Mus musculus: one gene and its partner. The protein of the gene in region 2 interacts with the protein of the main gene of each other region in a pairwise test. Links are inferred from orthologs where the notes say so. Each region holds a gene or a part of one and is shown on either strand. Other genes may lie near its edges.

Evidence for each region.
Region 1: the proteins of Tollip (region 2) and Tom1l2 interact in binary tests that used the Homo sapiens proteins (3 or more experiments, as listed by UniProt). The link is inferred for Mus musculus from reciprocal best matches to the Homo sapiens genes TOLLIP and TOM1L2.

What each region holds. Positions count from the first base shown.
Region 1 is NC_000077.6:60,349,834-60,354,611, reverse strand, and holds the start of Tom1l2 (TOM1-like protein 2), read left to right. Parts: upstream 1-1,706; 5' UTR 1,707-1,803; coding exon 1,804-1,855; intron 1,856-4,778. UniProt on the Homo sapiens protein: Acts as a MYO6/Myosin VI adapter protein that targets myosin VI to endocytic structures. May also play a role in recruiting clathrin to endosomes. May regulate growth factor-induced mitogenic signaling.
Region 2 is NC_000073.6:141,888,794-141,892,941, forward strand, and holds part of Tollip (toll-interacting protein), read right to left. Parts: intron 4,097-4,148; coding exon 3,947-4,096; intron 3,374-3,946; coding exon 3,191-3,373; intron 2,062-3,190; coding exon 1,909-2,061; intron 805-1,908; coding exon 714-804; intron 1-713. UniProt on the Homo sapiens protein: Component of the signaling pathway of IL-1 and Toll-like receptors. Inhibits cell activation by microbial products. Recruits IRAK1 to the IL-1 receptor complex. Inhibits IRAK1 phosphorylation and kinase activity.

The DNA.
Region 1 (4,778 bases), on a different chromosome or scaffold from region 2:
GAAAGAGAGAACTTTGTGAAAGCTACAAGGTCAGAGCGGCTCTCTATAACCAACCTTGTGAAAGGATACTGAAGAGGTGTGGCCTGACTTCTGAACCACACTTGAATTAAATAAATTATCCCAATATCTACTTACAAACATTGACAGGTTAGTGGGTGTATGGAACTATGAAAGCACACAGTAGGGATCTCTGTAAGAGAAATTTCTCGATTGACTAATATGAAGATTTACCAAGAGGCACGACCTCATGTCTAACACAGAATCCACTTTCTTAATCACAACTCTATTGTACCCAGCACACTAGGGACAGACATTGTCACATGTTCTCTGCCTACAGAACAAGGCCCAAAGAATCCTCCCCTATGGGGAGGATGTCAATAATTTATCCAAATGGGGGTCCCATTGACTTGCCTGATGATAGTGTCCTTGGTGAAGACCAGAGGTAGGATGTGGAGAAGCAGCAGAAAGCTTTACAAACAAATCAACCAGGTAGCCTCGTCACTGGTTTACCTGGGAAACAACAGCCTGGGTTAGCTGGACCTGAAACACTATGTAGACCCTATGAGTCCCACAGTAATGAGAATAAAAGCAACTGATGAGAATAAGTCCTTGTCGTACTCTCAGTGCACTCCACTTATTTAACTCCATGCCAGTTCTGGGAGCTATTTAAAAGGGACATCTTAGTGTCCCTACTTCCCAGATAGGGAAATTGAGGCTTGAGGTATGTGTGTATGTGGGGGGCCGGGGGGGGGGTCTGTGACCAAAGTCATAGAGTGAATTACTGACAGAGACTGAGATGGAACCTTGATATCTTTATTCTCATCGCAAACACTTCATACGGCACCAAATGAAATACCTTATTGCAGATCAAGAGGATGGATATAACAGCCAAACTCTAGAATGAGTTATCAGTGTATCGGGTACCTCTCTTTCAGTGAAACGAATCAGGCCAGGAAACTGGCTGATGGACCCTTTTCCTACTTGCTTTTGCTAGTTTAAGATTTTATACGCTCTTTTCTTTTTCAAAAGCCCGATTAAGTCTCAGTACAAGTGTAAAAATGACATGTGTGCTCATTTTACAGATGAGACGGGTCAGGTCGGAGTCCTCCAAGAAGAGTTACAAGACAGACCTCAATCATGCAACCTCTAATCTTCTGGAGCTAAACTCTTGATTCTTACCTTCCTAAGGACTGTCTCCCCTTGCAGTAGACGCTTCGTTTGGTTGCTGGGGAACCAAACACCGCCACTTGGTTGCTAAGGGGAAGTCAAGCGATAAATATCCTGGGTGAAAGTTGATTCGTCACGTGGCCATATTTCTAACACCAACCAGACTTGAAGAAAACAAACGTTTCTCCAATCAGCACAGTCAACGAGCTTCAACTTCTAGTTACGCTTTCTTTCTGCCCGCCTATGTAAACGATTGACACACCTTTTATCCAATAATAGTAAAGATTCTCTAGACTGACCAACGTGCTAATGAATCAAGAAGAACGGCCACTCGTTTGGAGGCGGGTCCGGGGGTTGTGCCGCTAGGCTGACGGAGACCCTAGTGACTTAGCTTGCTTCGTGCCCAATCGGACGCCGCGGGGTGGGTGGGACTTCACTGAGAGTGGAGTGTCGTCCAATCGGAAGTGGGCTGGTTAGACGCTGCCCAATAGAGATGCACCCAGAGGGCGAGGTCAGGCCGGGCGCTCAGCGTTCCGGAGGGTGGGGCGGGGGCAAGTGTCAGTCAGGGCAGAACGCGGCGCGGGCAGCGGAGACCCGTGGCACACAGGAGTCCGGGCTGGAACGAGGCCCGCCGAGATGGAGTTCCTGCTGGGGAATCCGTTCAGCACCCCTGTAGGGCAGTGTCTTGGTAAGGCCGCGCGTGGGGCAGGCGTCGAGTGAGCCACAGCGGCTGACCGGGCTGGTGAGATCCGCGGGCCTCCTCCCGGCACTGAAATCACCTCACGTGCGGGTTGGGCCTCTGCCAATAAGTGGTGTCATCTCAAAGGTGGACTGGGCATCCTTGTCACGAGGCCTCTGCCTGACGCTGGTGCCACCTCACCCTACAAGGAGGCTCCCCCGAGGTGCCGATTGGACTTAGAGAGGTCCCCGGCATCCCTGCCCATCAGGGCCCAGCCTTTCAAGTCTCTCCCCAGAAGTAGTGTCCATGCTAGTCTGCTTACCCTTGCGTATTGGGAGATGTCACTGCGAGTACTCTTCCCCAGGTATCTCGCTGCCTTTGCTCCCAGGGCCTCTGTCTCCCGGAGCCTTTGTGGAATGGAACTCTTTCTTCCGTCCTTGTCCCTGCTCATTGGTACCAATGGCTCTGAGGCTGGGCACTTTCCCAGAAAATGCCCCATGCTGCACGACTTCTAATTTGAGCTGCAACTCAGTCAGGCTGTAGGAGGGACTGGGATGGGGGAGGCCCTCGGGGAAAGTGACTGGCTTGGCAGGGGGATGGCGTGGCGGCAGAATCTCCTAGGCCTCCTAGGAAAGAAGGGAGGCAGGGCTGCTTTGTTGATAAGCAGTCCATTGGATCCCGGAAACTTGGACTCCAGTAGTGACTTTGCCAGGGACGCTCCTCCTGACCTTGTGCGCTTTATATTTTGACGTTCTCTTGTCTGCCACACGGGGTATTTGGAGATAAGATGTGGTGGGACTCTTCAAGTTCTAAAGTTCTGAATCTTCCTTGTTGATATTAAGCGTCTCCTTACATTGCCTCTTGCTCTCCCACTACATAAAGTGGTAGTAGAGTAATCAGAGCAGCTGTCAGTAGTGTAAGGAGTTAGAGGCGGGCCGCATGCTGCATAAGGAATGGCACTGGCCGCTGTGAAGTTTCCTTACAGAAGAAAACACTGGCAGACCAGGGAATAGTCCAGTGGTAGAGCATTAACTTAGCACACACAAAATCCTGGATTTGATCTAGGATCCAGCACTGCAAGTAATGAATAATAAAGCAATTTGGCCTTTCATCCAAGGTGGGAGCTTATGCCAACAGATCAGTCAAAAGTGCTGACTAGCTTTAAAAACAAACAAACTTGGGGCTGGAGAACTGGCTCACCGGTTAAAGACATTGGCTGTTAATCCAGATTCAGGCCCTGGCACTGCATAGTGGCTCACAACTGGCTGTAACTTCACATCCAGGGGATTGATTGCCCTCTTCTGGTGTCTTTTATATACATACCTAAACATACCATGTAAATGGTGCACAGACAGGCAAACAAAACGCCCACATATGTAACATTTTTGAAAATTAAAGTTGGGTCTGCCGGCTGGTTGAAATCATCTTTTATGAACTGGGCTCTGTACTATCCTTATGGGTCTTATAGTTCAAGCAGTAGAGACTTGCTTGTTTCTACTTTGTATATGAATTTATAGCCTACTTTTCTGTTGTTAAGCTTACAAACTTACGGAGGCTTTTTCTGTTGTTGATTGACATTTGGGAGCATTCTGTTCCTTTTGGGTTTTTTGTTTGTTTGGTTTTGGTTTTTGGCTTTTGGCTTTTTGTTTTTGTTTTTTGAGACAGGGTTTCTCGGTGTAGCCCTGGCTGTCCTGGAACTCACTTTGTAGACCAGGCTGGCCTCAAACTCAGAAATTCGCTTGCCTCTGCCTCTCACGTGCTGGGATTAAAGGTGTGTGCCACCACACCCTGCCATTCTGTTCTTTTTTGATAAAGTGTCTTTTATAAGTGATCATGGATTCTGGGACCTGAAAGTCTTTTCCCACTTCTATGACGCTTCTTTCTCTGATGTTCACTCAAGTATCTCTTTTTCTCTGTATGTATATGTGTGTGTATGTAAATACTGCAATTTTATGTGTTTACATATAAACACATATATGTGCATGTATATATATAAATATTTCAATTTTATGTGTTTGTTTTGCCTTCATGTATGTCTATACACCACTTGATTCCTTGTGCTCACAGAGGCCAGAAGAGGGTGTCAGAACCTGGAACTGGAATTACAGACAGCTGTGAGCTGCCATGTGGGTGCTGAGAGTCAGACCTGGATCCTTTGGGAGAGCACCAGTGCTCTCTACCACTGAGTTATCTCTCCAGCCTCCCCTCTTATATTGAAAAGATTTTATTTTATTTATGTATGTGTGTGCATGCGTCGGTGTGAGTGTGAATAGGGTGCCCGTGGAGGAAGAAGAGGGCATCAGATTCCATGGTGCAGAGTTACAGGCATTTGTGATCCAGCTGATATGGGTGCTGGGATCCAAACCCCAGTTCTCACGATTGGGCAGCAAGTGCTGTTCAGCACCGAGTCCTCTCTGCAGCCCCGACTGTGTCTCCCACCCACTCTCCTTTCTGTCTTCCTCTTCTCTCCAAGTGCCCTTTCAGCGCAGTCTAAATTCACTTCTCCACCCAATGTTGAGCTCAAGCCAGGGAACTAGAGGGGTGGAGTGGGGGGTAGGGGAGGGAAGCTGAGGCATATGAAGGGCAGAATGTAGAGAGAAGTAAGGGATGTAGGGCCATTTGAATGGATGGAAATAAGTAAACATGTTAGATGTGACCTGCATCAAATGACCTTGATTATGGAACCTCAGAAGGTTGTGTAGGCATTCCAAGCCTGAGAGTGACTGTCTGCTGAGCAAAAGGAGGGAAGGGCGGGGAGAGACCTGTGTCTTACTGAGTGCTTACTTTGAAGGGTTCATGTCTGCTAGCACTTGATCTCTTATCTAGAACATTGTAGAGACTCTGTGAATTGCGTTCTCTGTTTACAGCAGAACAGTCAGGGCTGGGTTTTCTATCAGAAGTGGCTATGTGATCTGGCTGGTTTATGATCTGT
Region 2 (4,148 bases):
ACCATGCAGGCCAAGTCCCATCCAGGATCTCATATTCCCTCCTGCCCTATAGACTGGCCATTCCCATTGGGATAGCAGAACTAGCATGGTCTGCTTGGACTACAGTTCCCTGGACCCTAGCAAGAGACTAGGGAGACTACAGGCCTGCCCTGATGTCTACTCTCAGAGCCACAGTTTTTCCTGTTGGCTGAAGCCAAGAAAGGAGCTGTGTGATCTCATCTGCTCATCTGGCTTGCCCTATTCTGGTAGGAGGACGAGTTGGATACCAGGCACTGTGAAAGCCACAGGAAGATTAGAAATTTAAAAAAATACATAAAAGCCACATCTTGACTTTATGACCCAAGCAGCTATTAATTTATATGGGTAAATACTTTCAATGAAAGCCATGATTTTCTTTTAAGATGTAGGTGCTCAGGGTGAGTGTTGTCTAACAGGAACCAGGTTGTCTTATTCCAGTAACTCATTCATAAAAATGACAATGTTTCTACAACTCCAAAAATTTCAACTCACCTTACTTGTGGCAATAATTAGGGCAAACACTATTGCCTATGTATGCATAAATAATTCAGATATGACACTGGAATAAGTTTTAGAAGGATCCTCATTTAAAGCAGCCATGCTTACACAATTCTACACTACTCAAGCTTCACAGGCCCTTCCCTCCTCCTGTCCTACTTTGTCCCAGGACTGCCTACCAAAGAAGCAGTACACACCTGCAATGGGCACATAGCCAACACCCTGCTGGTACACAGTTGGCATCAGGACCACAGGCTGAGGAGGCATCATCATGGCAGCTGGGAGGGACTGAAACACAACAAAGAAAAACATGTCAGTCAAGGAGGACCACACCATATGTCAATCTTGTTACTTCTGGTATCAGAGGAGTGGTCCTAGCCTCAGCCCAGACATTAACACCCAAGACATGGAGTCCTCAGCAAGAATGTAGTATTCCTGGCCTCTGGTTTCATCTGTACCAACACTCCCGCAGACTGCCTCCCTTCAGCTAGACAACTTGGGCTGCAGACTCCTAGCTCAGTTAGGAAAGTGGTGCACAAGCATGAGGACCTGAGTTCAATCCCCAGCATCTATGCATAAAGCCATGTTTGGTAGCTCATATCTATAATCCAAGGGATAGGGAGTCATAGACAAGAAGATCCCTCAAGTTCATTAGCCAGCCAATCTAGAGGAATGAGATTCAGTTTCAGTGAGAACAAAAGTCAGGGTGAAGATTAAAGAAAACAAATGATATCAACTACTGGCCTCACATGAGCTGCAACCACCACCGCTTCTCACACAGCCCCCTTCACGGTTTGTTCTGGAGACTGCATAAGTATCAGAAGCTTCTCTCAGAAATACTGAATTGGTTTGTTTGTTTGTTTAATATGTCTTAGTGTTCTGTGTGCATGTATATATGTGCATTATGTGTGTGCCTGATGCCAGTGAAGGTACTGAATCCCCTGGAACTGGAGTTACAGTTGGTTGTGAGCCACCATGTAGAGGCTGGGAATCAAACCTGGAAATTTCCACAAGAGCAGCAGTGCTCTTACCTGTTAAGCCACCTCTCCTGGACCAGCTCTAATAATCTTGAACTGTAGATGCGATAGTGTAAAATGGACCTATGCTACATAAAGCACCTGTTAAAGACAGGTAACACTCAACACCAGGAGAGGCATGTAGGATGGTCAAGCTGAGGAGGCCTGCATCAGAGTGCTTTATACTCCCCTGTTCTCAAAGACTCTGCAACAACTAAAATGAAAGGCCTAGATAATACAAAGGAGACACTGGGAGCTCAGATGCCCAGCCCTGCCTCCCATGACTTCCCAAGGTTCTGGGATTCTGGGAGCCATAGCTGCCTCAAGGAGGTGCCATAACCTCTTTGAGGATGGCCTCTCCGGACAGTGAACTCACCGTGTAGGACATGACCAGGTTAATCATGCCCTCCTTGTCATCGCCCTGCCTCCCACTCAGGCTATACCACTCGTCCTCCACTTGGCCCTGCTTCAGGGACTCGGGGATGGTGATGTGGGTCCAAGCTATGCGGTCATCCATGGAGAAGGCGCGCTGAGGAAGACAAGAGTAAAATGACCTCATCATGGCCCACAACAACCCATGTTATAGAGACGAGCTTTTCCTATGGCTGTGACTCCACCTGGACTGGTGCCTGCATCTACCTTCTATCTTCTTGGCAGGAGAGGTTCCTCCTCACTGCTCCATCTTCCGTCAAGGAGCTTCCCATTAAACCATAACGCCAGACCTCCATAGATCACCTAGACCTGGCCACCACCATTTCTGCATCTTCTGAGTAACAACCATGAGGCCAGGCCAAAGGACAATAAAGAATCTCTGGGCTGTCATCCTTGTTCAGGGATGGACACTATCTTCCCCAGTCCTTGGGCCCTTACTCCTAATCCACTAGATATAAGAAGCAAGTATCAAGCCCAGTAGGTACAGATGAGGACAAGAGCTCCAAGCCACCACCCACAGCCCCAAACCTCCTTCTCATATCCTTACTATTCTCAGACACAGAAGGAGGAGAAAGGGACAAAACCAACCAACTAAACAAACAAACAAGAAGAAAGTAGAGCAAGAGGCAGAGGGTCAAGACAAAGGAGAAACTGTGTCCCCTCACTGGGCCTCCCATGCCAATGTCCTCTTTGGCTCTCATGCCTCCATTTTTTTCCCACTGCCCTTTGCTGTTTCAAGGAAACAAGCATATGACCTCCACAGCTAAGCTACAAGGAGACATCTTCCACCTGAGTTTCCTGATTGCCCTCAAAAAGCTGCATGCCTAACTGCTGGAACAGCCATGGGACATTACTGGCAGAGCCTGGAACTCATGCCTACAAGAACAGTGCTCCCATCACGAGTGGAGCCTGACTTGCTTGAAATCTGACGTGCCCGTGAACATCTATTTTCACACTCTACTCATGCTTCTACTGCTGGTGATGGCTCCCAATGGACACTGTCAAAGGAACTGAGAGAAAAAATCTGTAGCTTGTCATTTAGCCACTAAATGCCAGGTGTCCAGGCAGGTCACACCCTGTCACCAGTCACTAAATGCTAGGTATGTATACAGGGCCTGAGCACCAGGAGAACAGCTTCATGACTAAACCCACAAGGCACACTACAGCACACCCATGTCTGTCAGATCCCAAACTAGACAGGTCTGTAACACTGGGGCATCTCTCACCTCATCGAAGATCTCAAGGTAGAACGAGTCCACACCTGGGGGCACTGTGCACTGAATGACTTTGTTCCAGCGAGGGTTCTTGGCCCCATTGTGTGCTGTGGGAGTTTCATAAACAGCATAGCCCAGACGCAGACGGCAGTAAGGGTCCATACGAGTCATGCCATAATTCTTTGCCAATTTTGCCTGAAACAACACCAAATTTAGAAAAATGTGGCATTCACCAGCAGAGACAAAGGCCAGTGCATCTGTAAACTGCTTTTCTTACAGATATTTCCCAGTGTGTGAAAAAACAGCCTTCAAGTTCACCTAATCGTGTCAGTAACCTGCTCTTGAACATGCTGCCAGTCACTCCTGGACTCATGCCCCTGGAACCTAGCCATACCTGGCAACACCTGTGAGCAGTAAGACAAGACCTCTCCTCTGACACTGCACTGAGTGTGCGCATCCTAGGCCTCAGCACGGAGCTGAGGTTGAATGGGAAGTGCGGTCGGCAGAGCTGTTGTGCAGGAATGAGCAGCTCACTGCTACAAAGGGGCCATCAGGGAAAGCGTCCTCACGGAGTACAATGCCTGACATGGACCAACAGTATCTTAGGCAGATCCCTGAGGAATCAACAGGTATTACCAGATATTTTCAAGAATAACTAGAATCAAAAAAATTCTACTGTGCACATGGGAAATGAGATGCAAAGCCCCATGCCCAGTGCCTCCCCTTCTGCTCAATCCCACCAGTCTTCAACAGGAAACTAAGACCCACCTGTACCACAGTGATGCTGAGGCGACCCACGGTACCAACTGTTCCTCCATACTGCAGCTGCTGGGCTGCCTGGGCATCCAGCTGGATCTGCTGCTGCTGTTGTGTGGGTGTTATACGGAGGAAGTCCTGGGGGAGTTCACCAATGTACACCTTCCAGTGAGGAGAGAAAAAGAGTAGAGTCAAAGCAGAATGCCAAGCAATC